Linked DNA regions of Danio rerio. The protein of the gene in region 1 binds, or shares a complex with, the protein of each later gene. Links are inferred from orthologs where the notes say so. Each region holds a gene or a part of one and is shown on either strand. Other genes may lie near its edges. The genes, in order: skic8 and skic3.

Region 1 (17,044 bases):
CATTGTTTGAACTGCCAAAGTTGTTTGTGTGTAAACGTTTGTTTCTAACTAAATCTTTGTGTGGCCTGGGAGTGAATTGAATCAACCACACAAGATTGAAACCGCCTTATTTTCCTTTGATAGTGCGGCTCTAACACTCTAAACTCTTCTGTTGTCAAGTTCTGTTCTGGATTAGGTTTTCAAACTTTTTTTTTTTACATGTTTAATCACCAGCGGTTCAAATCAAGGGCTCTGAATTGTTGCAACAGTAACATGTGTTGGCCTGTAGAGGGCAGAGGAGTCACGTTTGTGCTCAAGATATGGGGAAAAAAAGGAAATATCAGGGAATTTTACACTTTTTTCCAAGCCAACAGGTAATTAAACTATATATGAATTAACTAACCAACTAACTAATAATAGTCTGTAACATCACTGGTCATTAATGTGTGAATCCAACAAAAACGATTGTTTAGTAAAAAAACAAAACGTTTATTTGTATGATCATGTGCAGATGTTGGCAATGAAACCATGAATTGATAATAATAATAAAAAATCAGTGGTATGCTGTGGTCTGAGTGGGTGTGAGTTCACCAGGAGGCTGTGGAGCTTTACATGGGACAGTCGTAAATATGGATGGCGCGGTCGTCTCCCGCAGACACGATCTTTGAGCCTGTGGGATTGTATTTCACACTCCAAACCTGCACAGATTTACAACATCAACAACATGTAAGAGTTATGCTCTTGAGAAACGAAAACATACTGATATCTGCTAAAGCAAATACAGAAATAACAGTCATTTTATCGAGCATTTTCAACAAAATTTCTCCAGTTGTGGGTGTCATAAATGATTCGGTTACACTTTACAAAAGGGTTTCATTAGTTAATGTATAAACTAACATAAACTAATAATGAACAGTATATATTAATCACAGTTTAATCAACATTTACAAATTCATACTTGTTAACATTAATTTAAGGCAGGGGTGGCCAAACTCGGTCCTCGAGGGCTGGTGTCCTGGAGAGTTTAGCTCCAGCTCTAATCAAACACACCTGCTTATAGATTTCTAGTGATCTTGAAGACACTGATTAGTTTGTTCAGGTGTGTTTGACTAGTGTTGGAACAAAACTCTGCAGGCACACCGGCCCTCGAGGATCAAGTTTGTACTAGAAACTTCCCGGCAGGTGTGTTAAAGCAAGTTGGAGCTAAATTCAGCAAGACACCGGCCCTCCAAGACTGAGTTTGGACACCCCTGATTTAAACTTAGATGGATAGATCGATAGAATGAAGGAACAATAGATAGATAGATAGATAGACAGACAGACAGACAGACAGACAGACAGACAGACAGACAGATAGATAGATAGATAGATAGATAGATAGATAGATAGATAGATAGATAGATAGATAGATAGATAGATAGATAGATAGATAGATATAAAATGATAGAAGGATGGAATGATAGATAAAATGATGGATGGATGGATAGATAAATAGATGGAACGATAGATAGACAGATGGATGGATGGATGGATGGATAGATAGATGGATAGAACGATAGACAGATGGAACTATAGATGGATGGATAGAACGATGGATGGATGGATAGATAGACAGAATGATTGAACGATATAGAATGATGGAAAGATAAATAGAATGACGGAACGATAGATAGAACGATGGATGGATGGATAGATGGAACGATAGATGGATGAATAGATAGATAGATAGATAGATAGATAGATAGATAGATAGATAGATAGACAGACAGACAGATGGAACAATAGACAGATGGATAGATAGAACAATGGATAGATAGAACGATAGGTGGATGGATATAGATAGATGGATAGAACGATGGATGGATGGAACGATGGAACGATGGATGGATGGATGGATGGATGGATAGACAGAATGACTGAACGATATAGAATGACGGAACGATGGAACGATGGATGGATGGATGGATAGAAGGAACGATAGATAGATGAATGGATAGATAGATAGATAGATAGATAGATAGATAGATAGACAGATAGATGGAACAACAGACAGATGGATAGATGGATGGATAGAATGATGGATAGCTGGAACGATGGATGGATGGATGGATGGATATAGATAGATGGATAGAACGGTGGATGGATGGAACGATGGATAGATAGAGAGTTAAATAGATAGATAGATAGATAGATAGATAGATAGATAGATAGATAGACAGACAGACAGACAGATAGATAGATAGATAGATAGATGGATGGATGGATGGATGGATGGATGGATGGATGGATGGATGGAACGATGGATGGATGGAACGATGGATGGATGGATGGATGGAACGATGGATAGATGGATGGATGGATAGATAGATAGATAGATAGATAGATAGATAGATAGATAGATAGATAGATAGATAGATAGATAGATAGATAGATAGATAGAAGGAACAATAGATAGAACGATAGAGATAAAACAATAGATGGATAGAACAATAGATGGATGGAACGATAGATGGATGGATGGACGGACAGATAGATGTTAATCTGACCTGGTCCTGATGGTCAAAGAATGTGTTGACACATGATCTGCTGCTCGTGTCCCACACCTTTATGCTCTTATCTGACGAACTGAAAAAATAAAAAGCCAAATATTACACTTCATAACATGCAAACTACACTTTCATTCTTAATTTACATAACTCTCAACTCTTGCCTAGACACAAAGTGCGTGTCATCGGGTGAAAAGGCCACGCTCAGCACCCAGGATCCATGACCGCTGAGTGTGCCGGCCAGGTTTGCGTGCTGCCTGTAAAACACACAAAAACAGGCAGAATATCAGATTTGAATATGTTTGGATGCTGAATATACACAGAAATCTGCGTGTGTTAATACTTACACATCATAAATTTTGATGTATCCGTCGTCTGATGCTGTGACCAGCAGCTGAGAGTCTGGAGAGAACGTCAGAGATCTGATAGGCATAGCGTGACCTGGATATGAACATATTAATGAGCGATGATGCTGAAAACGCAGCTTTGCATCACAGGAGTTAATTACATTTTAAAATATATATGAATGAAAAGTGGATATTTTAAGTTAAAAAGCACAACTGCTAAAAAAAAAAAAAAAAAAAAAAAAACAGGATTTTAATAAAAATAAAAACTAATTCTAATCCCCAAAGCTGCATTTGTTTGATTAAAATTGCAAAAAAACTAAATTATAAATTATAATTTCTTTTATTAAACACAGTTGAAATTGTCCTTCAGAAAGCATTAGAATACAAACTTCTCCTTAAGAAACATTTATTGTTGTTTATTATTGTAATCAGTGTTGAAAACTGCTGGGGTGCAATAATGCAGCACAATTTTAAAACACATTTAAATTGTTCACCAAGAAAGTAAAAAAAAACATTTCAAATGTAAAAACAAAAAATATTGAATTACAAATAAGTTACTTTTAACTTACTTTTCATGAAGGAAATCCTAAAAAAAAGTGAGAGTCAGCATTTTCTAATGATTTTTGAAGGATCATACAACACTAAAAATCTCAAATCTAAAAAAAAAATCATAGAAATAAATTATGAATCAATTAAAACAATAACACACTAAATAACGTTATATCAAATATTATACTATATATATATATATATATATATATATATATATATATATATATATATATATATATATATATATATATATATATATATATATATATATATATATATAGTATAATATTTGATATAACGTTATTATATATATATATATATATATATATATATATATATATATATATATATATATATATATATATATATATATATATATATATATGTATATATATGTTCTGGACCTAAGACAGATCGCTGTGGTAGATAGATAGATAGATAGATAGATAGATAGACAGACAGACAGACAGACAGACAGATAGATAGATAGATAGATTGATAGATAGATAGATAGATAGACGGACAGATGGATAGACGGATAGATGAATAGATAGATAGATAGATAGATAGATAGATAGATAGATAGATAGATAGATAGATAGATAGATAGATAGATAGATAGATAGATAGATAGAATGACAGACAGATAGACAGATAGATAGACATATAGATAGACAGATAGACATATAGATAGACAGACGGACGGACGGATAGAAGATAGATAGATAGATAGATAGATAGATAGATAGATAGATAGATAGATAGATAGATAGATAGATAGATAGATAGATAGATAGATAGATAGACTAACTTTTAACAGGTAATGTAAGAACTGAACTGCATCTAACACATTATTTCCATCTGGACCTCTTGGATTGAATGAAAGGGAAGAGCGAAGAAGACAAAGAGGAAAGAACTGGAGTTGTTTTGTGACAGAAGCTGAAGTTAAAAAGCACAACTGCTAAAAAAAACAAAAAAAAAAAAAAAAACAGGATTTTAATAAAAATAAAAACTAATTCTAATCCCCAAAGCTGCATTTGTTTGATTAAAATTGCAAAAAAACTAAATTATAAATTATAATTTCTTTTATTAAACACAGTTGAAATTGTCCTTCAGAAAGCATTAGAATACAAACTTCTCCTTAAGAAACATTTATTGTTGTTTATTATTGTAATCAGTGTTGAAAACTGCTGGGGTGCAATAATGCAGCACAATTTTAAAACACATTTAAATTGTTCACCAAGAAAGTAAAAAAAAACATTTCAAATGTAAAAACAAAAAATATTGAATTACAAATAAGTTACTTTTAACTTACTTTTCATGAAGGAAATCCTAAAAAAAAGTGAGAGTCAGCATTTTCTAATGATTTTTGAAGGATCATACAACACTAAAAATCTCAAATCTAAAAAAAAAATCATAGAAATAAATTATGAATCAATTAAAACAATAATACACTAAATAACGTTATATCAAATATTATACTATATATATATATATATATATATATATATATATATATATATATATATATATATATATATATATATATAGTATAATATTTGATATAACGTTATTATTATATATATATATATATATATATATATATATATATATATATATATATATATATATATATATATATATATATATATATATATATATATATATATATATGTATATATATGTTCTGGACCTAAGACAGATCGCTGTGGTAGATAGATAGATAGATAGATAGATAGATAGACAGACAGACAGACAGACAGACAGATAGATAGATAGATAGATAGATAGATAGATAGATAGACGGACAGATGGATAGACGGATAGATGAATAGATAGATAGATAGATAGATAGATAGATAGATAGATAGATAGATAGATAGATAGATAGATAGATAGATAGATAGATAGATAGATAGATAGATAGATAGATAGATAGATAGATAGATAGAATGACAGACAGATAGACAGATAGATAGACATATAGATAGACAGATAGACATATAGATAGACAGACGGACGGACGGATAGAAGATAGATAGATAGATAGATAGATAGATAGATAGATAGATAGATAGATAGATAGATAGATAGATAGATAGATAGATAGATAGATAGACTAACTTTTAACAGGTAATGTAAGAACTGAACTGCATCTAACACATTATTTCCATCTGGACCTCTTGGATTGAATGAAAGGGAAGAGCGAAGAAGACAAAGAGGAAAGAACTGGAGTTGTTTTGTGACAGAAGCTGAAGTTTAAAACCCCTGAGGGACAGCCAGAGACGCAAACAGGCTTTTCCAGCACGTTCACGTAACCCATAATCATCCTAAATGCATCCAGCAGACGCTCTGCTTTAATAGAGGAAACCGAAGACAGCCTGAATCATGTGGAAGACGATTTTCACCTTCCAGCGTGTGCAGGAGTTTCCCAGTCGCAATATCAAAAATATTAATGATTCCGTCAATAGCACCGCTGGCTAAGTACTTTCCATCTGGACTCTGGAGACACAGAGAAAAGAAAGATATTACAGTCTGGAAAACCCAACAAATGTTCGTTCAAATGTGTGTGAGAGTGCGTAATGTGTGAAATCTATTTCTTTTCTTTCTTTTTTTAAAGCCTGTACATAAGTGTCACTGTAACGCTCTGCCCTATGAAAAATACATTTCCCAGATGTTTTCCATGATTCATGCTCAATATTTTATCTTTATTTCTTGGTAACAAAACATTTTAGAGCTAGGCATAACAAAAGCCATTTGTTCAACATTCTTTTATAAGGAATCCTTATAATTTATAGTGTCATTACATTCTCAAGACCATAAAAGATGTTGGACCTTGTTATGTTTAATAACCTACATATGTAATAACTTATACCATAAATTATAATGGAATATGATGGTGATAAATGATTTTGAATTAGCTCCTTTTGGACAAACTCATCAGATCACAACCCACAGTTCAGAACACATGTGACCCGCAGATTAGGTGAATACTTTTTTCTTTACTTGTAGATCAATCCTAAATTTGTAACGATCAGAGAGCGATCACCTCTTGCACCATTGAAATCACATGTATGAAAGCATTTAGGCTTTCCTGTAAAATATAATGAGGAATATGTGGTGGGTTATTCAGGATGTGGCAGGTTTCTTAGGTTATTAAAGGTGTTTTCTGTCATTACTTAGTCTTGTGTTCTCGTGTAATGTCATCATCAGCTGCCAAAGTTCTAACGCCTGTTTCACACCGCAAGCGTCAGCGGCGCGTGAGCAGAGCGTGCGCAGCGCGTATGTCGAGCAGTAGCAGCATGCAGGCGTTTGCCTTTCACACCAGCTGCGTCTGCAGCGCGGAGCTCTTCGGCAGCTGCTGCAGAGATCAACCTATCTCTGTGTATTCTATCTAGTTACCCATGTCTCTCTATTTACAAATACACTTTTTAAACTTTTCATCTGCAACAAGGCCCCTCCTATGCTGTTTCTTTAACCTGCAAATGTTTATTTTACAAAATTTATAGATCAAATAGTACTGTATGCTTCTCAAGCTAACTTATATGAGAAGTGTCTACAGTCAGAAGACAATCGCCTGTGTTGTAGACCTAGTTATAATAATATTTATACAATATAGTTATAATGATATTTATACATGATCAAACTAGTGTTACTTTCTCCGCTTCAGTGATGTCCAGCGGCAGAATAACAGCTCGTTAATTCATGCTCGTGCAGATGATGAGACGGACAAAAGTAACCAATGCATGCCATTCTTTTACTTATTTTCGTGTTGTCAGATTCACAGAGCAAACAGCTCCCGGTAGGAATAACTCGAGTGAACATAAAACAAAGCCGATTAAAACTTTCTTCCTCTGCTAGCTGCACAGAACACAGCGAGCTCACATCATCCAGCATGCGTGTCGAACTACACTACCCACAATACACTTTGCTATGGACTACAAATCCCGTAAATATTCTATTTCCCCTCTCCTACAACACTAGTGTGCAACTTAAGCAAAACTGATACTAAAATTGTTTTACATTTGGTTTTGTAGTTCGGGCCTAAATAAATGTTTCTTGCCGTTTTTAATCGTTTTAAGTTAATTTGGATGACTATATAAACCATTTGACATTATTAACGCATTTATTGAGTAAAATTGCTACTTTTTACTGTCATTCAATGTGTTTTGGTCATTATCAATGCACTGTAACTTTAATGCGCGTCAAAAATAGACCCAGCGCCGAAACTATCGCTGCACTGCTGCTTCGGCGACGCTCACGCCTCGCTCTGACGCGCTGCTGCTGCTTGCGGTATGAAAGCTCTAATCTGTTAACATGGACGCCGAAAACACACGCGCTGCTCACGCTCTGCTCACGCGCCGCTGACGCTTGCGGTGTGAAACAGGCATAATACTCAAGACCGCAAGAACAGAGGATGCCTGAAACTTCCCGGATGTGTTCTTGATATCAAGGACGCACTAATGCAGACTTGAGCACCGTTCTTGCTCTAAAAGTCCCAGAAGTCATTGCGACTGGAGGTGGAATGCGCAGCAGTTTATTTAGATTTGTTATTAAAGTTCAGAGATATGACTTATTTACTTCAGGAGGTTCCCAAAATGAAACGGTGAATGTAAACATTACCATGGACATATTAATAAAGGAATATACACATTAAGGGAATTTGTTTGCTGAAATTCGTATAAAAATTGGAATTGAGAAACAGCCCATTGTTTAGCCTGCATTAAGGAATTCAGTGTAAGCTGCACGATTAATCAATAAAAGATTGGGATCTCAACACCCACTCAACATCAATTATAAATGATGGTGATTTGCACATGTTTATTAATCCTCGAATCGCTGCATTCAAATCTGTGTTTGAAATACGCAAAAATCAAGAAAGATATGGAGTCTTTAGTCTTTTGAGTTAGTTACAAACAGTCAAATGACACAGAATTACTTGGTGAACAGTTCATAGTTTAGATAAAACCACTGATGATTATGGTAAAGATTAAAACTACTGTCATATGCATTTAACAATGCTTAAAAATGAAAATTGTAGGCAGCAATTACATTATTTAACCAATAGGTGGCGACAACCAGCCATCAAAAATATGCCATTGTATAATGCTTCAAAAACGATACATGTAGCAATGAAACATGAAGTTTTATGAGTGAAAGACTGAATCATTTATTAAAAAAATTAAACTAAAAATTAATATGGGTTTAACAAATTATAATGTTAGATTAACACATTTAGCGTTATCAGTAACAGTAGTAGCAATTCCAGCGTTATGGATGTGACAATTGGAGTAAAAACTCAAAACATAAATTCACATAGAAAGAATACGTTAACATTATATTGAAAATTTGTTTATATTTTACAGAACAACTAACCACAGGGTTACAGGACCAGAAAAATATCAATCTGTAAACATGATTCGCACTTTAAATGAGGAAAATAGACATGCGTTATGGATGTGACCAAAAGAGTCTGCGAGTTTACAGTTCACAAATTACTTTGTAGAAATTTTGTATATTAAATTGCACAAACCAAAAGAAATAATGCTAATCAAAACGATAAGAGTTGGTTCTCTATAGAACAAAAAATATTGATATTATTTTATACTGTTGCATTCATGAGGAAAAAGTGCCGTTATGTGAATTTGCTTCGTTATGGATGTGACCGATGTAAAATTGCCACTTGTGTGACTTTGCTAATTCAACTAGAATAGTTTGAAAAAACTAACAGATCACACGCAAATGGCTACAGCAAGAGCGACCAACCCTTAGTTATTGGATAGACGCAACTATTGAGATCGACACAATGGAAAAAATCACTTTTGTTGTCAATTTAAAGAAGGATATATTCCTAGGAAAATGGAGAAAAAGGGTTAAATATATTTTAGTTAGAAGACCCGACTTTGTTGCTATAAATGAATACAAGATGTTGTTCTGATAGATAAATATATGCTAATGTATGTACATGTATATGGTTACACTTATTCATATTATTATGTGTAACATCCCCATGTGTATAATGAAGATAGTCACTTGAGATTATTCTGGAAGGAATTATATTATGACATGTGTTCTTACCCTGGATGTAAATAGTTTTTTAAATTCCATTTATTTTTGATTATTATATTTTATTGGATCTTTTTCTTATTTTTTTTACTTTTCTTCTCTTTTTATGCTGTTTTTCATTTTATAATTTACAAAATTTGAGTACTACTGTGTAGAAAATACACCTGACAATAATGTACGCAATTGTTATACCATCTAAGCTCACATACTGAGATACCACTGTACCTTAAAATACTGTGATTGTACTCAACTGAATATTCAAAATAAACAAAGTTAAAAAAAAAAAAGAAAGAAAACACTAACAGAGATATTTTGATTATTTCTAATGTACTGAAAAATAATTGCTTCCCCGAAATCTTGAAAACTGTTTTGCTATTTTGTTGAAAACCTAGTTTTTTTTTCATGGCAAGGTTGACATTTGCATGGAATTACTCAGTCGTGACAGTTAATTCTTCACTGTACTAAACATTTTACAACAAATTTTTATTCAGCTGATTATTTCTTCATTTAATTTTTAATAAAATTACAAGTTGTAATATCTGTTTGTTAAAACCAAAAGTTTCCTGCAGTGCTGTTTTTGTAATAAATGGAAAGAAAATTACAGTTGTCTCCTCCCCTTTTTGGTTGATATGAAAAATGGTCCTGAGACTAAAAACTCATAATGAGATCCGAACTGTGGTATTTGTGATCCATTACACCAGGCATGTACAAACTCGGTGTCCTGCAAAGTTTAGTTCTAACCCCAATCAGTCACACCTGGCCTAGCTAATCAAGCTCTTACTAGGCTTTCTAGAAACATCCTTGCAGGTGTGTTGAGGCAAGTTGGAGCTAAAATCTGCAGGACACCGGCCCTCCAGGACCGAGTTTGGACACCCCTGCATTACACCATTAATACTAATATACATATGCATTGTGTGTGTGTACGTAAAATAAAAACAAATGATGTAACATTTAAAATGAATGCCTTTTAATAATGCTTTGTGATCTTACATAAGCGATGCTCAGAATGAATTTCCCTCTGGTGTCCAGTGAATGCTCCTTTTTCCCACTTTCCACACCGAAGATGTTGACCTTCCCAAGATGGCTGCCGGTGGCGATGTATTTGGAGTCAGGAGAGAAAGCCACCGTCCAGGCGTCAACTGCAGACGGAATAGAAAATAAGTTCACCACACTCAAAGCTGCATTAAACATCAAATGGGATTTCGAAAAAGATTTTTCCCAATGTTTCAATGTAAACAGTCTGCAAAAGTGCCAATCAAGATGAATTAAGAAAGACTTAACTCTAAATTGCCTTAACGAGCCGTTACATTTTCAAGTCTTTAGCCTTCTACCAATCTACGACAAGACAATAACAGTAACTATTTTGCATTATTCCAAAACATACGAACACTCTGAAATGGGTGTTTAATTTTTGACATGGAATAGGCTCAGAAAGACCGATCAAAACAGACTTGTCCAGCTGACCAATCAGAGCAGAGTTGACTTACGGAAGGGAGGGGTTTACAGATTATAAGCCCACGATTCATTCAAACAAACTGTGCTGAAATCATTGCAGAATTATTTTAATTTGAATTACATAATCTGAGGAAATTACAGTGTTTTCTGACCTTAGATGACTCTAAAACAATATTAGGACACTTTAATATACCATACACCTGCTCTTAAAAAAAAAGAAATGAACGCTTACCAGGTCCCGCGTCCATGGATTTAATCTGTTTGCCCGTCTCCAGGTCCCAGAGGCGAATGTGAGCATCCAGAGAGCTGGAGGCGGCGATGGCTCCATTCTGACTGATGTTCACAGACACAACACCCAGCTGATGACCCTCGAGAGTCCACTGCAGCTCCAGCTTCTCATCACTCCTGCCAGACAAGAGCAGAAAAATAGACACTTTTTAGGGTAGGTTTAACCTTGAGAAAGCTTTGGTTCAATTGAAAACAACTCTGGAGTGAATGCTGCCATCTGATCCCTGGTGAGAGCAATGAAAAGATGCAGATTTTGTACTTGGAACGAACAAGATATCTTTAAAAAGCCCACGTGGACAATTTCGCAAGATCTGGGGCCCTTTCCTCTGTGATTTCATGAGGAATTATATTCTTTAAAGCTATGTATTGTAACTAAAAAGTTGCTTTGATTGCCACTATATTGTACACTTACAGGCTGGGATAGGGGTGTTCTTTTAGTTTGTTTGTTTGTTTGCTTTCGTAAGTTTATGCATATCAGAAAATAAATCCTGGAATGTGATTATTGTTCAATTTAATTCGATTCATCTTTCTTTCTTTCTATACCACTTTTATAATGTAGATTGTGTCTAAGCAGCTGAACATAGAAGTTCTAGTAAATTGAAACAGTGTCAGTTCAGTTTAAGTTGAAGTTCAGTTTAGCTCAGTGTGGTTTAATTTTCACTGATGAAAGTCCAAACACTGAAGAGCAAATCCATTGATGTGCAGCTAGCTCCACATGTCCCGAACCAAGCAAGCCAGTGGCGAGAAACAAAACTTCACCAATTGACGAAAGTGAAGAAGGAAAAAAAAAATCTAGTGATAAATCAGAATCAGTTGAGCACAACAATTTCTCCTCTGGCCAAACTACTTGTGCAGAGCTGCAGTCTGGGTGCAGGAGGCTGCAGAATGCTGGACGTCCATCCAAGTATATTCAATGGCCAAATAAAACTTATTTAACTGTTTTTTGATTCTGACTAAGACAGGGGTGTCCAAACTCGGTCCTGGAGGGCCGGTGTCCTGCAGATTTTAGCTCCAACTTGCCTCAACACACCTTCAAGGATGTTTCTAGAAAGCCTGGTAAGAGCTTTATTAGCTAGCCCAGGTGGGCCTGGACTAAGAGAACCAGGAGAATTAAACAACTAGGCCTAGGTAGTGTATATAAAATTTGTTTGTTGCTCATAATATAAAAATAATAATAAAGATCTTATAAATGATTTTGGGTTATTATGTTAAGGGTTGCTCTTTAAAAGATGCCAATTTTAATATAAACGTTATCACTATGTAAATTTCACATTCACAAATGCAAATCGGCAAAAAGCAAACTTCTCTTCATGGCACTAGAAAAACAGATTGAATAAATGGCACATATATAAATGTGATATAAAACAAATATTATATGCTCCTCTGTTAACGTTTTTGCATAGAATGTCCAACATAGGGTTGTAACGGTATGAATTTTTTACGGTATGATAATCGTCTAAAACAATACCACGGTTTGACGGTTTCGCAGTATACGGTATTAAATAGTAATTCTCATAGCAAAGACCCTGAAAAGAATAAGAACACATTTTCTGACTGAACAAAGGTTTTATTTCAACAAACTTTTGAAAGAACCATTTTAATAGAACTATAGAAGTCTTTTATAAAAATAAACTGAAAAATCTCCCATTTTAATAAATTAAATTAGAAGGAATAAACAAGCAGGGTCTTTTAAGATTAGACAAAAATAAACTTAAACTGTCCTTCCTTATAAGCAGGATAAATGGGAGACCAAAAGTGCAATACCAAGTTTATGGCTGTAAACATGTATTTAAAGCGTTGTTTTTTTCAGTCTAGGTTGTGATGAAGAAATGTAAGCATGTTGAGATTTTCAGGACTTAATATTGACCGCTGAGGTGAGAGAATGTGTCCACTTGTACAATGAACAAATAAAAAAATAATAAATAATGTCAAAGTCCAAATAAACATGGTGCAAATCCTCAGTAAAAATAGATATAAATATTTACTATACTATAAATAGTTACATAACGAAACTAGATTCAATATGGAACATCCTTAGGTTTTATGTGCCACCATGGATATGGTTGTCTGTGGATATGGATTTGGATGTGGTTGTATGCAATGCAGACAAACAACTGCACCTTCATTTCGTTTTATTTAGCCGCGCAGAAATGTATGCCTATCTCTCATTCCGTGTTGTTCAAAAAGCTCAGTGTTGGTCCACAAACAAAAGCGAAACCTATGCTTATTGGTTGTGATATAGCGAGTTTGAACCAATCTGGGCATGGAGGAGGGACAATGCATCAATGTATCATGTCTGGTTTGTCCGGAGACACAGTGACGAGCGTTTCTTTGTCAAATCAGCGTTGTCAAATTTTGATGACGTAACCGCACTGATTCCGGAGCCTCTGAAAGTCCGCGAATGTTATGTGATACAGCACTAGAAAGCTGAGATTCTCTTCTTTATGCCAATCTTTCAATTGTATGAATCAGATCAGCGGATCAAAGGTTATTAAACATTTAAGAGCAATACTTATTTTTAGCCGCGGGCGGCTGTCTCGGTCTTTAAGGGTTAAAACCGTTGATATGCAATTGTTCATGGTATGATAATCGTGCACGTTCAAATCGTGGTAAACCGTCATACCGGTATATTGTTACAACCCTAGTCCAACATACTGCTTTTTTAAACTTGCAATTGTGAGTTTACATTGATTCTGAAACAAGATGTCAGAATTTTCAACCACTGTGAGTTATAAATTAGTGCGATTTAAAGTCAAAATTGTAAACTAAATTGTATTTAAACCCCTCGGAATTGTATTTATATCACACAGCTAGGCCTGTCACGATAAGGAACTTAGGAAATAGTTGCAATACGCGATACTACTGTCATATTGATATCATTTTATACCACTGATTATATAATGATCCTATATCAGCATAATAACTCAAACAGCCATTATCACTTTAAAATACTTATCATATTTAGATTCTATAAGTTGACGTTAAAAAGGTAATTTCCTATTGTATATACCATTTAATGTCCTATTAGGTAAATGTCTCATTTTAAACTTTGACACTGGTGAGGTAGAATGTAAATGTCATTGTAAAATGGCTTTAACGTTATTTGTGAATTTGTAAATATATACTGCAACGGCAAAAATGATTGAGGTCATCTCAAAGTATTGCTCGACAAGTCGATATATGGATTATTGTGACAGGGCTACACACAGCCTTACTGCAAACACACTCTAAATCAAAAGTTTACCCTTTTACTGCACTTTGCTCATTGATTTACCATTTCCACACTTTGACCAGGTCATCCAGAGAGCCGGTCACAATGGTTTCAGAGCCGTCCTTCTCACTGCGACCCCATGCTGCTGTCCAGATGGCGTCTTCATGAGCTGCAAATGCATAAAAGCACATTTAGTAGCTCAAATATGCTCCCTATCTAGACAGCTCACTACATTCCAGACATTTTTTAGGAATAAGTGTGTGAGGAGGACTCACCGTGCTCCTGCTTGAAGAGTATACTGTACTGAAAAACAGAGAAATAAACATTTATATAACATAAAAGCATGATTTTGATCACTGTATAATACACTTTAAAAATGCTTTTCTTACTTAGATGATTTTTATTAAACATAGTTTGTTGTTTTAAGAAATAATGTGTCAAAATTAAGTGAGATTTTCCTTAAAACAAGCAAAATAATCTGCCAATGGGGTAAGCAAAATAATCGTAAATCAAAAGGAAAAGCAAGATTATTTTTCTTACCTCAAGGGAAGATTATTTAGCTTGCTTTAAGAATAAACTCGCTTAATTTTGACATATTATTTCTTAAAGCAAGACACTATGTTTAGCTTATTTAGAAAAAGCTTCGTGGTTTAAATATTTTTTAGAGATTTGGACTAGAAACAAGTCAAACTTTAAGTAGTAAGAGCATTTGTTGCAGTGTAACGTTAAATAAGTCAGAAAACTTCTAGCTATGTGAAAATATTAGAGATTAACTCACTTGTGTGCTCATGGTTCTTCGCTTCAAACCCTGGTTGTGCTATAAAGGAGTTCTTATGAGTTAATAAGCCGTGTGTGATTTTTATTATTAATTATCTCACTTTATACACTCAATTCATGCAATGGTGCTAGCGTATTTTAGCTTTTCAATAAATGAACGGATTCTTTACGTCTTCTGTGCGTCCCGAAAAAGCTGTAGCGCGGTCGAGCTAAACACCGTAAGCGTTTAATGGTAGCTACGGATATTAAATTAGGAAATAATGCGGTCTGTTAACAATAATAAACGGCCGCAATGATACCGACTAGAGAGCCGCCATGACACCTGCGCGCAAAGCAGCATGGGAACAGACGACTGACTCCGCCCTCTCGTGCTGGCTTTCAAAACACTGGTCTAGAGGAATATTATTATTCATTCATTCATTTTCCTTCGGCTTAGTCCCTTGTTTATCAAGGGTCTTCACAGTGGAATGAACCGCCTATTATTCTAATTATTATTATATAATATTATGAATGTAACTAATATATCTTAACTAACGTGTGTGCTAATTAGAAAGAGCTTTATTGCCAGGTATGTTCACACATACGAGGAATTTGTTTTCGTGACAGAGCTTCTACAGTGCAACAGAATCACAGATACAGGACAAAAACAGATGATAAATATATTTTTTAAATAGTAAAAAAAAGTAAGTGAATGCAAATATACAAATTGACACGTGTACAGGTAGATTATATACGTTATATGTGCGGCATATAAAGTGTGTTGTTAAATAAGTGTATATGTGTGTAAAAAAAAAGTGTATAGCAAGTAGTGTGGTTGTTAAAAATAACAATATCCTGCAATAATATTAATATTATACAAATAAAAAAAAAGAAATTTAATAAATTATATATATATATATATATATATATATATATATATATATATATATATATATATATATATATATATATATATATATATATATATCAATGATGAGAATAAAATACCATTAAAATTAAAACACAAAATGAATCATTAAAAATATATTTTTAACTAACTAAAAAGGCTACAATTGTTTTACAATAATAAAAATCAAACATTTATTGAATCAATGCTAATATAATAAAAACATAAAATATAAATGATAAAAATACATTATTGTACTGAAAAGACCAGATAATCAAAGCATTATTAAACAACATGTATAAGTGCAAGTAGAAACTGAAATTGAAGTAATAAACATATTAGTTGTTTATAAAATAAATACTAAATATATATTTCTCAATTCTAAATTACAGTACTAAATATATACATCATTATTGATACAAATGCAGGTACCAGTTATTGTAATATATATATATATATATATATATATATATATATATATATATATATATATATATATATATATATATATATACACTCACCGCCCACTATATTAGGTACACCTTACTAGTACTGGGATGGACCCCCGTTTGCCTTCAGAACTGACTTAATCCTTCGTGGCATAGATTCAACAAGGTACTGAAAATATTCTTTAGATACTTTGGTCCATATTGACATGATAGCATCACGCAGTTGCTGCAGATTTGTCGACTTTACATCCATGATGTGAATCTCCCATTAAAGTAGTACTAGGGTTCCACAAGGCTGTGTCAGTTCACCTATTCTTTTTACACTTTTTACAAATGAATGTTCAAGTAAGCATTAACAGAATTTTATTTTTAAATATTCTGATGACACAGCCATTTTTAACCTATAAGAATGATGATATCAGTGTTATCTACCAGTCAGAAATTAGCCGGTTTGTTGAGTGGTGTGATAGAAATAAGCTAAAAATAAA
Region 2 (17,044 bases), on another chromosome or scaffold:
CAGATGACATTCTTATAGACAAAAGGTTTATTCTGATTTTCAATATTCGGTTATAGACAAACATATAGTTTACCTGAGGGCACGTCCGTAACCCCTTAGAGCAAAGCTGAGCTTGTCTGTATGAAGAGACCCCTGAAGCAGCTCAACAGCTCTGTGGAGAAAATAATAAATCCACTGAGAAAATTTGTAATAATATTGTCTAAATCAGTGTCACAAATATTCAGCCGTGTAATATAGGCCAGGGGCTTTCAGGGACCCCGTATGAGGCTGCCAGGGGATCAGTGGAAATATTTCGAGAAAAATGCTAAATTAAAAAAAAAAAAAACATTATTTTATAAAGTTTAATAAAGAAACAAATTAATATAGCTGGAACAAAACAATAAAAATAATAATAATAACATCCATAAAATATTTAAAATAATATTTAAGTATTTAAAAAACAACTCAAGATTAGATTAAAAAAAATCACATAATATTTAACTAATTAAAATTAGTATAAAATTAATAATAAACACAGAGGGGAACTAAATATTAAAATAAGTAACTATAAAAATGTGTAAAACACAATAGAATTATATGTAGAAAAAAACATCTCAGCATGAACATTGTCTTTATACAAGAAACTTTATAGTATTTTTTCTAATAAATAAGATATAAATGTCTGCAATATTAAAAAACCAAAGATTAACCATTAATATGAAATTATGTCAGGTAGCCTAATTATCTTTTTTGACATGTGTAATTAGCTAGAAAGGGCAAACCTGTGATAAGCCTCAGTGGCCTGTTTCCTGAGCTGCAGGTGTGTGTTCAGGTATCCGAGCATGATGAAGGCGTCTGGGTCTGTCTGAATCCTCTCTGGTGTGAAAAACAGAAAGAACACTGAGCTTCATTACCTCTCTTCATCTTTCAAATTTGTCATTGTCACATGATTAATTTCCTAAATATTCAATGGGAGACACATTTTTGAAATGCGTCTAGTCGTTACAAGTCATTCAAATCATTCAAGCCATAATGGGATTTAAACCATTTCCAGCCTAAAGACGCTTTTATGAACAAAGAGGGTGGTGCATTATTTGAATTATAATATAATAATATACAATAACTATTTGCTCCATATTCAAAAAGCATGCAGATTTTTTAACATTGCGTATTACAGTGCATATAGTACCATTTCAGCGTATTTACCTACTTTGAAAGTTAAAGATTTTAGGATATCAATAGCATACTGGTTGCACTTTAATAATCATTTTATTGGGTAAGACATGCACTTTATTTTAGCATTGGGTGAAGATGTTTATGTTTTAATCTAATGCAGTTTTACTGTATTTATTCAGATTACACATTAAAGGGATAGTTCACCCAAAAATGAAAATTGTGTCATCATTTACTCATCCTTCACTTGTTCCAAAAAAGTTTGACTAACTTTCTTCTGTTGAACAGCACTGACTTCCTTAGTACTTTTGTTCCTACTCCAGATGTCAATTGCAGTTTTTTCACCAACATTTTTTTTAGAATTTCTTCTTTTGTGTTCAACAGAAAAAATAAAATATAGGTTAAAAAACTAGCATTTTTACTTACAATTACACTCCTAGGGATCTGATTTAACGATCTAGGCGAAGTCGAAAGCACATGGCACAAAAACATTAAGGCCATGTCTGAATCTACTTGCTATTTTAAAGACAGAAAAATAGACTCTGCATCCCAGCGCATGGTCTAACAGGGTTATGCTTATTCTCTTAATTAGTTATGGGTGTGTTTTGAGCATAACACACATTAAACCAACCAGAGTCTCGTCTTCCATTCCCTTCAAAAGTTTATTGCTCATTTGCTATTTAGATGGTGGACTTTGTAAGTGAAAAAACTGAACAATTCACTAGCAAGAAAACAGTTAAACAGACCATCTGCAGCGCAAGGATATAGAATGAGCCTCCTCCATTCGGCCTCTTTAATTTTAGTCTTTGCTTTACTCCTTTTCTTTACTCCAAACTGCACTAGAATTTGTTTGGAAATGACCTAAGATGAAATGAGATGAGCGCACCAGAGCACAGTGTCACGCTTATTCAAATTAACTGTTTCATCAAAGCAATCCCACCAGAGTTTGTTTTAATTAAACCAAACCTGCCAAGAGCCAAGAACACACCCTTAAGTCTTTAACACCTTAAGCCTGTTTGAACCGGAAGTCTTGTGGGCATCATTCCCTCATTGCAAACCCACGGTAAAAGAGGGTTTTAATATGCAGTTGCCATGAAAGCCCTCAGGTTGATATCAAATGAAAGACTGCCACTCTAAATGTGGAAGCAAATGGTCAGACTTTCATTGAAGATTACCTAAACAAACTATTTTGATCCATCTTTTCAGTAGATTAATTTGCATTTATTAAAGAGAGCTAGCAAAACAAATATCGTAAAATTTCCTTTCACATGGACTTTAAAAACCCTAACACTTTTTTTAATCCAGAGTAATGTGTCTGTGTTCTCACCAGTGTACTTGCTCAGAGCAACTTGAGCAGCAGAGACAGCGTTCATCTGGACAATGTTGTAGAGATACAGCTCTGAGTCTCTATTGCTCCTGTCCAGCAGTGTGGAGCAAACACAGTACGCATAACCCTTCACTCCTTCAGTCTAAACAGAACATAAAGCAATCATTTGAACATGAAGAAGAAATGATATACTACAATTCATACCTTTGTGGTCTTTTTTTAAAGCAATATCTCATTTTATCTATCAAGGCTGCAATAAAACAATCAAAAAGGACAGTCGAGACAAAATGTTTTTAAAAATGCTATATCCAAATAATGTTGTTGCTTTCTATAGTACTTAAAAGAAAAAAAACTCACTGTATTTAACATAGACAAAATCAGCAATATAGAATGACTTCTGAAGGATATTGTGACACTGAATGGTGGATATTTAGGGCTACAGAATGCACCCTGAATATACACTATATACAACCCCAAATCAGAAAAAGTTAGGACAGTTTGGAAAATGCAAATAAAAAAAGTGGTGAATTCCGAATTTACTTTGACGTATTTCATTGCAGACTATTTGAACACGAAAATTTTCATGTTTTGTCTGTATATATGTTTATACAGAGTTCACTACAACACTGGGTGTTATTTTGGTTTCAGAATGAATTTGAAGAATCTTTGATCTACATTACATGCTGAATGCTAATACGTGCCCCTGGACCTCAGAGATTCATATGAAAGCTAAAGAAATAAGCTTTCCACTGATGTATGTTTTGCACAGTTAGGAAAATATCTGGCAGAGATAAAAATATTTGAAACCTGCAATCTGAGTAAAATCTAAATACTGAGTAAATTGCCTATATAATAAATCTGCTAGCAATGCATATTACTAATTAAACATGTAATGTTTATAAAATATTTACTGTATGAAATACACTAAATGTTTTTACAGAAAATGACCTTTACTTAAAATTCTAACAAACAATAACAAAATATATATATATATATATATATATATATATATATATATATATATATATTTTTTTTTTTTTTTTTTTTTTTTTTTTTTTTCCCATTTATTGTATTCATGGTTATTCCCAAAAACATACCAGTTCAACATAAGACTGCTTTTAGCAAAGCCCAAATATCGGAATGATTCGAAATATTTAGAAATTAGTACACATACATGAGTGCTCAGTTCTGTGGTGTGTCTGAAAAGATCCATTGTGTCATAACTGCCAACTGTCTCAGCAATGAGGGCCTGTGTAACGAGAAAGATGTTAGATATGTTGCGAGTAGACCACTGGATTTTATATTAATTTTTGAACTTGTCACAAGTCTAAACAACTACCTGTCCGATCCAGCAATTCACATAAAGGGGCTCTAGAGACTGAGCAATCTTAAAGGCTTCATGAGAAAGCTTAAAAAAAAAAAAAAAAAAAGAAAAAAACGACAATTAGAGATTATTAGTGTGAGTGTAATTGTCAAGCTAATCCCTTAACCAACCTTACCTCTATATTTCCCTTCTTCAGATACAAAGCACCAAGGTTGGTCCAGGCTACCACATTCTGAAAAATAACCAGGAGATACAGTTATCAGCCCTCATGTCAATTTGTTGTTGTTGTTTTATTTTATTATGTTGTTGTTTTAAATTATTTATTAAGTGATGTTTAAGAGATGCAGTAAAAATCTCACGGTATTTTCTTCTTCCGAGAAAAGTCTTATTTCTTTTAGCTAAATTAAGCTGGAATAAAAGCAGTTTTATTGTATTTGTAAAAATTTAAGAACTATATTATTAGCCCCATTAAAAACACTTTTCCAATAACTTATTCTAACTTGCCTACACTGTAAACCATATCTGTATATTAGCAGTTTTCCATATTTTGAGGTTCATGTTTTTATTTTTTCCCCTGTTTATTTATGGCTTTTGAATTATATTCTGGGACCTTGATCTTTCTGCCATCAACGTTTAACCATGAAAAGTTTGAAAAAGTGACTTTTATTAACATTTTAATAGTTTAAATTGATATATTGTCAGGCTGGTGTTATATATTATACTACAAAAGCCACCGCCAGTACACCTTCTTCTATTTTACAGACTTATTTCTCAAGATTTTATTTATTATACATTATATAAACTTCTAAAATAAAAGTCACTATGTTAAACTTTTTCAACAAGTTTGGATTGGAGTTCAATTAAATTGAATTCAAAAGTCAACAGAGCAGAGATCAACATCTCATAATGCAATTCACAACCGTATATAAATGGGAAACACTTGTCAATCACAAAATAAGGAAATAGTTAACAAACAGATGCTTTGAGTGTAGTTAACCTAAAAACCTAGTTCAGTCTTTAACTAGCAATTTAAGCTGAATAATAGTACCTGGCAAAATAACTATTAAAATATTATGTACTTTCATCATGGCAAAGACAAAAAAAAATAGTTTTTAAAACTATTGTGTCTAAAAATGTGTTAAAAATAATAACATATCAGTTAAGACACTAGGGAGTTATTTTTTAAAATGAAATAACATTCACAGGAGGGCTCATCATTTTGACGTCAACTCTATATTACTTGCATCAACACAAATGTTTAAAAAGTAAGCAAACTGTTCCCCTTTCTTGCATCACTTACGTTTGGCTCCGCTTTGACTGATTTGATGAAGCTGTGTTGTGCAAGTGCAAAATTTTCAATTCCTAAGATTGTAAAACAGAATATAATGAACACACAAATGACCAATCACATTGTAGTTATGTAATGCAGATTAATTCGATTATGCACATCTGATTGTGTTTACCCTTTGTCATGGCTACCACCCCGAGGGCATTCCAGTATGTGTGATTTGCACTGTCCAGCATGATTGCCTTTTTCACACACTGTCAGAACAGTGACAAAATCACAGTGACAGCCTGTTAAGACTCATACTCATGAGATCACTATGAATTCAAAAAATTCGGGTTAAGTACCTGAAGGGCTTTCTCCAGCAGAGCCTGGGGATCCTCCTCAGGATAATGAGAGCTGAGCAGTCTGGATTGATGGTAATAGTTCAAACCCAGGTCACACCACAGACTGGGAGCTTCTGGCATCAGCTTTAATGCACGACCAAAACACCTAATAAAATATAGGTTCATTACAGAATGAGGAAATTATTAGCATTTATTCGTTTATTTTTGCAGTAGGCATTATTTCTATTCATTTGTATTTTTATTTATATACAGTATCTAATTTATATTTCTTTCCATTTTTCCAGTCTTCATTTTAATAATTAGTTCAATATGTTTTTGTATCTTTTCCCAGAGATGGGTTGCAGCTGGAAGGGCATCTGCTGCATAAAACATATGCTGGATAAGTTGGCGGTTTATTTCACTGTGGGAACCCCGAATTAATAAAAGGACTACGCCAAAAAGAAAATGAATTAATGAATGTTTCTGTATCTGCTTAAATAAATACAAGCAAATTCACAAAGTTTGTCCTTGATTATTGGAAGAAATAATTTGATTTTTATTTTATATATTTAATGTATTTTACTTCTGTGATGTCAAAGCAGAGTCTGAGACTGTGTGATCGCTCTATAGTGGCAAAAGGTCAAAAGAAAATCGGCACACTGCTACTTTAGCTCTCAAAAAATGTTTAATGCAACAACATTTCGACCTGCATGTCATTGAAATATTGTTGCATCAAGCATTTTTTGAGAGCTAAAGTAGCAGTGTGCCGATTTTCTTTTGACCTTTTGCCACTGTATTTGTTTTTGAGAATCCTGCCTTTGAGAATCCCAGATGTGTGCACATTTCTGTTTTTTGATTACTCTTTGGTATTACATGATCCTTCAGAAATCCACTTTATAAGCCAAACTGATGCTCAATAATTGCTTCATACTCAACATTCTGTTCATACACATTTTCATTACAAAAAAACCATGACTTTTCCAGGACTTTCGAGTCAATATTCATGATCTAATGTTTCATGTAATGTCTACATTCATTAATTCAATTTCTCTTCAGCTTAGTCCCTTTATTAATCTGGGGTCGCCAAAGCGGAATGAACCGCAAACTTATCCAGCATATCTTTTTTTACGCAGCGGATGCCCTTCCAGCTGCAACCCATCTCTGGGAAATGTAATGTCTACATACACAAGGTAAATTATAAGAAAAACAAAGAATGTTTACATTTATTACAGCATATCATAAAACATGCAACAGTCTCTTGCGGTTTAATTAATTTTTTTTATTTATATAAAATAGATGATGGTTACACAGCACTAATGATGCGAGACCATGTTTTTGGCCAAGAAAAGAAGTAAAAATATCTAACCTCCAATCCAGTATACAGATATTTGTTAAACTAATTTTAGATAATGTAAATAGCTTGTTTAACTAGTATTAGTAGGTAAAACTACTTTTATTGTAAAGCAGCGATTACACTGCACTTTTCGCTCCATAGACTTCCATTCATAGGCATGCGAATGCGGCAGACTAGAAACGCAAGCACGTGCGCCAAGTTTCACATTCACTGCATTTAAAAGTTCAAGCTTGGTGAATTCTTACCTGCGAATCACTTGATTGGGTTAGACCAATAGAAGATCATTTAAAATAAGACATTTAAAATATGGAGCAATCGCTCAATTTATTAACATATAATCCTATTGTTTAATACCACCCCAGTTGCTCTGGATAAAAACATCTGCTAAATGACTAAATGTAAATGCAATTTCCAGGACTTTTTCAAAACCTTGTAGGTTTTTTTGTTTTTCCAAATCTTTTCCAGGCCTGGAAAATGCCATGTCAACATTACATGATTTTTCCAGGTTTTCCATGACCGTATGAAACCTGTTATTATTATCATCAATGCTGAAAACAACTGTGATGCTTAGTGTTTTTGTGAATGCTCTGAAGAATAAAAAGTTCAGGAGAAAAGTACTTGTGTTTGAGATATGAAATCTTTTGCAAAAATATATGTCATTACAATGACTTGAACATTTTGAAAAACTTTTTTGATCCACTTCAGATGTTCAAATATTAACACTTGGCCCCTATACACCTGGTATTGACACAATTTTGTCCTGATTACAAGTGGATAATCACAAATTTAGCAGAAAATTTAGAAAAAAAAAAGTCTTCTTATCATCTTCAATGATTTGTTCAAATGTAGATTGTATATGCTTATTTACCAATATTACATATTACATTCAAGAAATAGAGAAAAAATATCCATATTACCCTAATAGTAAACATTTCTGTTTACAATTGCCTTATTTGGTGCAGAAGGGAGATTATGGCTATTTTAGCTTTAATGGCTATTTTATCGTAAAATAAGATTTCCTGATGCCATGTCTAAAACAGATTTTTAAGACAAACATTTTATAGAAATTCTACAGTATTTAAATGATTCCCCTTTAAAATGTATATTATTTAAAGTCTCTCCAGAGAAAAAAAAACGTTGTCTCTTTAATGTTGTTAACATTAAAAATATGGCATTGTAAAAATTTGAATTACATTTAGTATGATATTAGATAATATAAAACTATACTAATAAAATCCTGGGAAATTCCCCTTTAATTAAATGTCCAGGAGTACATTTAGTTTGTCCAATATGACATTGTGTATAAATAACCCCATCATGTCTTGAGGTAAAAGAAAAAATTGATTATGTTCCTACTAAGGACTGGATTTCAAAAAGTTTGTTATTTGAACATTAATCTGATGGGCAATTGTAAATGTATGTCTTTCACCTTTCTCCGAGAGTGAGGAGCTGTCTCTGGTCAAGTGTGTGCTTCTGATCGGATGGATCCATTCCACACAGAGCTCCAGGTACCAGCACTTTAGCCCGGTTTGGAGACACAGTTCTGGAGGCGGTGCAGGAATCACCTAATAACTTCCACAGACACGACAGGTCTGGCCTTTGCTTTACAGCTCTGAGCGCACAGAAGAAAACAAACAAAGAGATCACATCAATACTCAATGGATGACAGCCATTAATTACACCTTACATTGCTTGAAGGCTTTTTACAGAATGAGATGTATTCATTTTTTTCCAGCAGACCTCCATATTCACAAAACACTTTACCTGAACAGATAATGGATGGCGTTTTGTATCAGATCTACAGCTCTTCCATCAAGATAGTCATCCAGTGCACTTTTAGCCAAAGCTAACAAGCATTCACCAAGACCTGAGAAAGCAAAACACAGTAAAAAGTCTTTCTGAAGCACTACAAGTTTATATACTGTATGGAAAACACTGTACAATAATATTCCAGTAGTTACTGTGTTTATCAACATGGACAAACAATGAACAATACATTTATTACAGTATTTATTTAAGTTAGTTAATGAAATTAAAGTTGTTCAGATCACACTTTATTTTAATGTAAAACTCCAGCTATTAACAAACTAAGACTTTTAGGTCAATAAACTACTAATAAGCTACTTACTAGCTGGTTAATAAGGTAGTGGTTGGGTTTAGGTTTTGGGTAGTATTAGGGATGTAAAATAATATCAAACTCTATAAGGGCTAACCAAGATGGCTGAGTGGTTAAGGTGTTGGACTTGAGATCCAATGGACAGATGTCCTCGTGGGTTCAAACACCACTCCTGGTAGAAAATTTGTGAAACTTTATAAGTGCCAATAAACAGATAATATATTAATAAAATTATTCCCTCTGGTATTTATGTATTTATTATTTATTTATTGCCACATCAGCAACTTATGGCTATTTCATGGCAAAATGAATATACATAAACATATGACATTATAAAAACTAATTCGTATTACAATAAAAAGTTACTTAGACAAATATATATAATATAAATAAATAAAATATTCAAAGTTAAACATGAATGTTCTGTTCAATTTTTGATAAATAATTTAAGATTATTCCTGGTGGTACCTTTTTAAAAATGTCCATCAAAGTACTCTCCTTATAAATATTTTGTCTAATTCTATTCAAACTTTCACATTCCAACAAAATTAGTTTGATAGTAGTAGCAGCCTGGTAGTAATCACATTCAGGTGGGTCTTAGTTAAAATGTCCAATCTAGTTGAGATAGTTTGATCATCCCTGGTCTCAAAATTATCATTTGCAAAGTGTCTTTTATTAATTTTCAGGTTAATTTCATGTAATTTATTATTTATGCAGTTGTCCCATTCTCTTTGCCAAGTTTCGATTATATAATTAATTAATAAATATTAATTGTGGGTGTCAAGTCCTCAGGAGGAATTAAACATTCTGTCACTTTCAAGTAGATTTTACTGCTCCATCTGGATTCCCTCTGGTAAGAGACATAGAGTCCCTAAGTGTAGTTTGATCAATACAAGAAATTCTTTGTACCCGTTTCATTGAGTTTGTTTAACAAGACTTTATCATAATTATTATTGTTTGAACTACTGTATTTTGTACTGTTTTTATTGTATGTCTGCAGCAATACGGCAATCCCCATGACTCTTTCCAGTGGGACATGCCTGAAACACCTCCCTAGGTAGGCGTTTAGGAGGCATGCAAAACAGATGCCCGAGTCACCTCAGACTTCTCTCGATGTGGAAGAGCAGCAGCTCTACTCCTCTACAGTTCCTCCTGGGTATCTATAAGGGTGCACCCTGCCACCTTGTGAAGGAAACTCATTTTGGCCACTTGTATCCGAGATATCGGAGATGTATGTCGGCGCTTAAGAACTTCTGCAGCGAGCAGACACATTCACAATGAAGTTTAGCAACACCTGACGTCATCCATTTAAAGTGAATGGGAAGCATTGACGCTGACTGTATTTTAATATTGTATTGGTACAGGTTAAACTATGATTAATTATTGTTCATTCTTACTTCATGTTAGTAAATGCATTAGCTAACATTAATGGAATATTATTGTAAAGTGTTTGCAACGTTTCTGCAGAAATCCAACAAACCTTTCAGTGCTGGCACATAGTCCTCCTTCTCTAAGATTTGCTTGTATTCCGCGGCGGCCTCTTTAAAGCGGCCGAGGATTTGTTTAATGGCAGCGGTCTGATAGAGGCTGTAGATGGAGGTGGGCTGCAGTACGTGGGCTTTATCGAAAGCTTTCAGGGCAGCGGTGAAGCTCCTGCGATTTAGGTAAGCCTCGCCTAAACATTCCCAACAGACCCAGTCCTGAGGATCAGCCCTCAACGCCGCCTGCAGACTGACACCACAGCAGAATCATGAGTACATTTCAAATACTTAAAAAAATATAAAACAAAACAAAACAATATTAATAATTGTATTTAAATGTGTTAAGTACAGTGGTGGAAAGAGTACTGAAAAGTCATACTTGAGTAACATTACTTGCTCAAAAATGTAGTGCGAGTAAAAGTATCTGTATCTAAAAAGTAGCCCTTTTCAAAACTATTCAAGAATAGTGAGTATTACACAGTGAACTGTTGTTGCCTTTACATGCGATTTGTGTGTGTGTGTGTGTGTGTGTGTGTGTGTGTGTGTGTGTGTGTGTGTGTGTGTGTGTGTGTGTGTGTGTGTGTGTGTGAATGTAACATTCTGTAGTGCATTTAGTTATTTTTTAAGGCCATTTGGCAATTTCAGTTATCATATAGTAAACATCCTTCATCTTCTTATCAGTTACATGATGCAGTCAGAACAGTCTTTGGATCATTGCATGTAAAGATTTTGCACATTTTCTTTGACACTTTTAATGCTTTCAAGTGGTTTGCTGCAGTTGTATAATTAATCAATTAAACATGATTAATTACAACAAAAAGCGTGATTAATTTGTTAATTTTTTTTAATCAATTGGCAGCCCTAGTAATTTGTTACTTTACACCACTGGTTAAGTATTGAATAATTTAACCACCAAAATTTTAAAATGATAAAGTAATCTTTTGAGACAGGAGTGTGGACTTCTATTAAGCATTAGTTATGTGATATTCCAAAATGCGCATACAAATCTATCTATCTATATCTGTCTGTCATTGTGAAAGCTGCTTTATTATATTGAAATCTTTATAAGCTGTTTATTAAAAAAAATATATTAATATAATTGGGCGTCACGGTAGCGAAGTGGGTAGCACAATCACCTCACAGCAAAAAGGTCACTGGATCGAGTCCCAGCTGGGTCAGTTTGGTCATTTCTATATGGAGTTTGCATGTTCTACTCGTGTTCGTGTGGGTTTCCTTAGGGTGCTCTGGTTTTAAGCTAAATTAAAACCAGCTAAAATAAGCTTAAGTAAGCTAAATTGGCCATAGTGTATGAGTGTATCTGAGTGTTTACTGGTGTTTCCCAGCGTTGGGTTGCGTCTGGAAAGGTATCTACTGGGTAAAACATATGCTGAATAACTTGGCGGTTCATTCTGCTGTAGCAACCCTGATTAAAAAAAAAACTTAGCCGAAATGGAGATAAATGAATAAATAGTAATATAATTATTAAAAATTATACATTTATATATAAAATTTATATTATAAAATTTGACATTGACAACACTTTTCTTGCTATGCTAGTAGTACAAAAATCAGTAATAATAAAATAAAAAAAAATAATACACTAGAGTCAGTGTTAGAGATCATACATCTCTAACACTGAAGTTACACTGTTGAGTTTCGTATAGATTTCCAGACTGTTTTTGTTTTGTTTCTGTTATCTTTGTTGTATCCTTATCACACCATATTGTATGTTGTCTTGATTATTTTATGCAAAATTTTATGTAAAGCTATTTATGTGGATTCTGGTCTGTACTAACCTTTCATACTACTATGGGATTGGAAATATAGTTATTTTGCATCTGTTCACCAAATTTCTATATAACTGAGCTACTTTTTGTTCACTAATAATCATGTTCATATAAACACTATAAATGAGAACTTCTCCCTCAATCCCCGGGTCTGAATGCAGACTCAATGCAGCAGGTTTCCTGCCCTGTCTATTTCAACCATTAGCCCCGCTGGAAAATTTAGGCGAACACAGCAGCACGGCGATGTGTCTAAATGTAAACAAACTCCACTGATAAAGGACAAAGTCCACCATTCTCCAATCATTGTACTGCTCTCCCAACAAAAATGCTTGCTGCACACAAACAGTTTTCTGTATCGGCCCTGAAAGGATTAGGAAAAAAACATGCAAAAAACCCATTGATCATGAAAACAAACACATACGACCCTTCATGAACGGCTAAATACTGCATGCTGTGGGTCCGTGGACATGGTTTCACCTAGTCATCAACATAGAATAATTAAGAAGCCGGCTCTTCACAGAGGATAAGAAAACTCCACTATGAATAATAATGAGAAACGACGCATCATCTTTGCATTTGCAGTTTTGCGCTACTTCACCGATTTTGATCCCTCACTAAAAATAATTTTAAACCCGGAAGATGTTTATTAGCTGACAAAACCTCAAAATTATGCAGGTTTCCCCACAATTAAAGCTCACAGGTGCTAACATTGTCTTAACTGATGCTCGACACACACAAATCTGTTAAAAAATTTTTCAAAAGTACTTGAGGGTTTCATGAACCTTTAAGGTGGTTTAACCTTATGTCCCTGTAATTCAAAACACTTAAAACCATATTTTATCATATTTAATATATATTAAATATGTAAAATATATGGGAAACATTTTACATCTATATCCTGATTGGCTGCGATTCAATTTTAGGAATTGACTTGGAGTTCACTGTTCGACTTCTAATTGCCAAAAGGATGGAAGATTTGATTTACTACTAATACATTTTTTTTGTAAAAACCTGTTAACATCTTGCATCATTATAACTGCTAACGTTACAGTTGCTTTAAAAAGAGCTTTTAAAGTATCTGCTGAGCACACCACCCTGGGCCACTGAAACAAATCTTATTACCACTTAGGCCTTACAGCTGACATCAGTTCACTTACTCTGCAATGGCCTGTTGATGCTGGCCAATTTTAAGGTGGTAGAGACCTCGTCTCATCCAGGCCCATTTAGCAGAGCCAGGAGTAGCTCTCTCTGTCACAGACTGCAGAACAGTCAGCGCCGAGTCCTAAAGATAGGGAACATCATGAAGCAAATTAACCTTGATTTAAATGAACCTATTTTCTGCAATGTTAAACTTGTATCTTGATGAGAAAAAAAAGATGCAAATGATACATTCAAACGGACTGCAATGCATTTTTACAAGACAAATGCACTTCTGTCTTCACTCACCATGTCCCCCTGCTCCATACTGAGATCTACAGCAGCTGCTCCGGCTTCAGCATCAGATGGATCCAGCTCAAATGCTCTTTTATAGCAGCCTCTGGCTCTGCCCTGGTCTTTAGCCACCTCTCTGTAGTAATGACCCAGAAGGCGAAAAACTGAACCAAGATAAGGATCCAGTTTAGCTGCCTTAAAACAAAAGAAAACAAGAAATATATTTATGATCATCTTCTGGTTTGTGGCTAGCTAGGGAGTTCAGAATAGTTTATTCGTTTTTGTTTTCCACTGAGGCAGGTAGGATGGTTAAAAATAGCTTGCAGTCTCCTATTTTGGCCAAAAAATTCCATCATCAGTGATGTGTTTTTGTTAAGAGCCTTACTATTCTGAATAAATTCTTCAATGTTTGTTATTCCCTTTAAACATGTCATTTGAGTTTGCCTGGGGTTCCGGGTGACATTCTTGTAAAAAATGTCATCCTTTCATGGTAAATGAAAAGCTTGAGTATTTATATCATTACAGTTATATTAAATAAATTGCAAAGTATTTCATTCAAGTTTATTTGTTTAGCACTTTTTACAATAATTATTGTTACAAAGCAGCTTTACACAAGGTGCACATTATTGCATTACAATCAAATTCAGAAAAGTTAAGGTTATTAGTTACCATAACTTTATTAGTTACTTTAGTAGTTAATAACTTTAACTAACTAATAACTAATTATTAGGGCCAGACAGAATCTGCAGACATTTTTTGCTATTCTGTGCAGAATATTGTAAAAAATCTACAGATTTATGCAGAATGATTTTGAGTGTATCTTAACTAAAAACCTAATATATGAAATAAAAAAATACTACATTTTTGACTATTATTTAATGTTTACATTTATTTAGCAAACAAATTAAGTGACTCATATAATATATCTACTAAAAGACTTTTAGTCTTTTATTATTACTTTGCAAACTGCATTGTAAGTAAATCATATGAAAATTTTTATATTAGTCAGTAATATTACTGAATTTAATTTAAAAATTGAAGAAATGTACATTTACACACAACTGAATAGACTCAATAATTGGCTGAAAATCTGCAGAAATCTGCAGATTCCGTGTGGGACGTGTGGTACCAATTACTAATAACTTTAACAGTAAAAGTTATTAGATATAAACATAGTTAACCTGGAGTTATATAGTATATAGGTTGCGTCTAGTAATCAAACATTTGAAATATTTTTTTTTAATTCAAAGGGAAGAGAATCTTCTGAAGTCTACATAAACATTGACCAAAATAATTTAATGAAGCGGAACTAAATATTCCAGTGGAACTAAAATAGAAATGTGCCATATTACGTAAAATTTATCAAATTGAATTATACTTAATTGTTCATTCCATTAACTGAATGCACAATATTTAATAAAATGTGAAGATTGTGTTATTTTTAGCTTCTGTCATTCCCTTATGAGGACATTGCCTAAATTTTAATTTAAAACAACCCATTAAATTTTAAGTTTTTTTTTTTTTTTTAAGGTAGCAGAACTTTAATAGTCCCAAAAGTTTGGGAGAATTTTTTTTTTGTTTTTTTGCTACTATTTTTGCTACTTTTTTGCTTAAAAAAAATTTTACTTTTATTTCAAATATTGCTAACAATTAAATAATAGTTTTTGATTACTAAAATTATATCCATCAAAATTAAAAAATATATTTCAAACAGAAAATTAAAAAACAATACATAAAAACTAAAAGGAAAAACAAAACAAAATGTGGGGGAAATAAATTATATTTACCAGGGTCCTATAAAAGGATTTTAAAGTGTCTCACTTTGAGTAAATGAGTTTTGCTGCGGTCTCTTCGTATTTCCTCTCCCATGTTCCAATAAAGGGACCCGAGCAGGAAGAACAGTTCCCCACTATCTGGACTTCTGGATAAAGCCTCTAGAAAGCTGTGTAACAGAGTGAGAAAATAAGTGCCTGGTGGTTACACCCAAGTTGTTTATGATATATGCATGTGTGCGTGTGCATATGTGGAGTTTCACACCTCTCCTCAGCTTGTTTGTGCTGTTCTTTAGCAACATGTAGAAGTGCTTTCAAAGTGAGACCATCCACAGATCCTGGGTGAGAGCTCAAAAGCTCAGTGGAAACCTGCAAGAATCATTTCATTCCAGTGGCATTATTGCATTAATGGCATTATTATGAACTGCTTCGCTTTTGGAATATCCAATTTCTTAAAGGAATAGTTCACTAAAATGAAAAAAATAAATACTATTTACTTGTTCAAAAAAATTCAAAAGAAAATATTATGAAGAACATACAGTAGGTAAACAAACTAACTTCCTTAGCATTTTATAGAAGGTATTGGCGATCATCATCAACTTTTAGGTTAACAACATTCTTTAAAATAGAAAAAACGTATTTGAGGATGAAGTGCTGAGTAAATTTTCATATTTATAGCTATCCCTTTAACATCTATTGTTTTAATAAATAGATAAAAAACATTAGGAATGCAGTTCTGTTTACCTGAAATGCTTCCTCCGTCTGGCCTTTTTCCAAGTAAGCTCTTCCTTTTAATGCCAAAACCACTGGATCATTTTTGGCATCTGAAATCTAAAAAGAAAATGAAACTATATAATTTTATTGTGTCTTTTAAAACAATGCTATTAGAAATATATGTTTATGTGAAAAAGGTTTACATCAAAGTATTAACCAGAACACCTGCTTGTTGCACTGATAGTAACAAAAACTAGTTATAAGTATAATTTGTTTGAAACTAATATTTATACATCATATGAAATAAATAAGCTTTCCATTATTATATGTTTTTTTTTAAGGATTTGACACTACTTGAAAATCTGGAATCTCTGGGTTAAAGAAAATCATATATTGAGAAAATATTAATACAATGCTTAGCAATGTAAATTAATAACCGAAAATTGAGTTTTTAATATTGTTATTGTAGGAAATATCTTCACGGAACATGATCTTTACTTACTGTAAAATTTTAATTATTTTTTTATAAGGTCTTAAAATGTTCACCAGAATTGATTAAGAAAAAATCTGTCATTCGGACCTATAGACAAATACCAACCTTTGTCACACGGGTCCCCGGTAGCAAAAAAAGACCGGCTGCAATGGCAAACATGTCGTTTTGTGTGGTAGGATGCCAAATTTAACTTAACTTTTACCATACACCACACTGCTTTAATGCCAACTGCAGACGTCTTTGGCTAAAGGGGAGCTGAATAAAGTGACAAACCTAATTAGAAATGCTGGACTCTGCAGTTCTCATGTTTTATCAGGTAAGTTCACGCTATGCTGAATCATACACGTTACTCGTTTTAGATTGCAACAATGATTTCAGCAAAAACAGTTACATATGTTTAATTAAACTGCGGACACTGAATGCTAAGAATGAAACGTTATTAAGGTAAAGTTGGTTTTATATTCACACATTCATTCAGTGAC

What was found.
Region 2: the proteins of skic8 (region 1) and skic3 are in contact, whole or in part, in a cryo-EM structure (PDB 7QDS), measured with the Homo sapiens proteins. The link is inferred for Danio rerio from reciprocal best matches to the Homo sapiens genes SKIC8 and SKIC3. Residues at the interface, in NP_001290176.1 of Homo sapiens: Asp16, Asp17, Trp20, Leu40, His63, Gln64, Leu65, Gly66, Leu84, Ala86, Gly105, Pro106, Val107, Trp110, His126, Lys149, Phe150, Glu187, Gly188, Ala190, Arg194, Asp201, Gln203, Tyr213, Asp218, Val219, Gln220, His221, Asn223, Leu224; in NP_055454.1 of Homo sapiens: Lys649, Leu688, Gly690, Lys691, Tyr695, Asn960, Pro963, Val967, Asn970, Lys971, Glu974, Gln994, Leu995, Lys997, Glu998, Ser1226, Asn1227, Lys1230, Lys1252, Leu1256, Lys1257, Gln1260, Lys1261, Ala1263, Leu1264, Leu1265, Pro1267, Trp1273, Lys1295, Arg1296.

The regions. Positions count from the first base shown.
Region 1 is NC_133200.1:7,002,994-7,020,037, forward strand, and holds skic8 (superkiller complex protein 8), read right to left. Parts: upstream 15,525-17,044; 5' UTR 15,235-15,524; coding exon 15,223-15,234; intron 14,748-15,222; coding exon 14,720-14,747; intron 14,614-14,719; coding exon 14,508-14,613; intron 11,351-14,507; coding exon 11,178-11,350; intron 10,630-11,177; coding exon 10,481-10,629; intron 10,288-10,480; exon of another isoform or gene 9,005-10,287; intron 8,776-9,004; exon of another isoform or gene 7,961-8,775; intron 6,707-7,960; exon of another isoform or gene 6,041-6,706; intron 5,927-6,040; coding exon 5,833-5,926; intron 2,967-5,832; coding exon 2,873-2,966; intron 2,783-2,872; coding exon 2,690-2,782; intron 2,605-2,689; coding exon 2,526-2,604; intron 678-2,525; coding exon 588-677; 3' UTR 448-587; downstream 1-447. UniProt on the Homo sapiens protein: Component of the PAF1 complex (PAF1C) which has multiple functions during transcription by RNA polymerase II and is implicated in regulation of development and maintenance of embryonic stem cell pluripotency.
Region 2 is NC_133180.1:54,923,660-54,940,703, forward strand, and holds part of skic3 (superkiller complex protein 3), read right to left. Parts: intron 16,187-17,044; coding exon 16,100-16,186; intron 15,725-16,099; coding exon 15,621-15,724; intron 15,526-15,620; coding exon 15,405-15,525; intron 13,779-15,404; coding exon 13,599-13,778; intron 13,435-13,598; coding exon 13,310-13,434; intron 10,616-13,309; coding exon 10,365-10,615; intron 9,063-10,364; exon of another isoform or gene 8,980-9,062; intron 8,636-8,979; coding exon 8,533-8,635; intron 8,381-8,532; coding exon 8,198-8,380; intron 5,581-8,197; coding exon 5,436-5,580; intron 5,346-5,435; coding exon 5,267-5,345; intron 5,166-5,266; coding exon 5,104-5,165; intron 4,036-5,103; coding exon 3,979-4,035; intron 3,888-3,978; coding exon 3,819-3,887; intron 3,729-3,818; coding exon 3,654-3,728; intron 2,622-3,653; coding exon 2,480-2,621; intron 856-2,479; coding exon 762-855; intron 152-761; coding exon 74-151; intron 1-73. UniProt on the Homo sapiens protein: Component of the SKI complex, a multiprotein complex that assists the RNA-degrading exosome during the mRNA decay and quality-control pathways.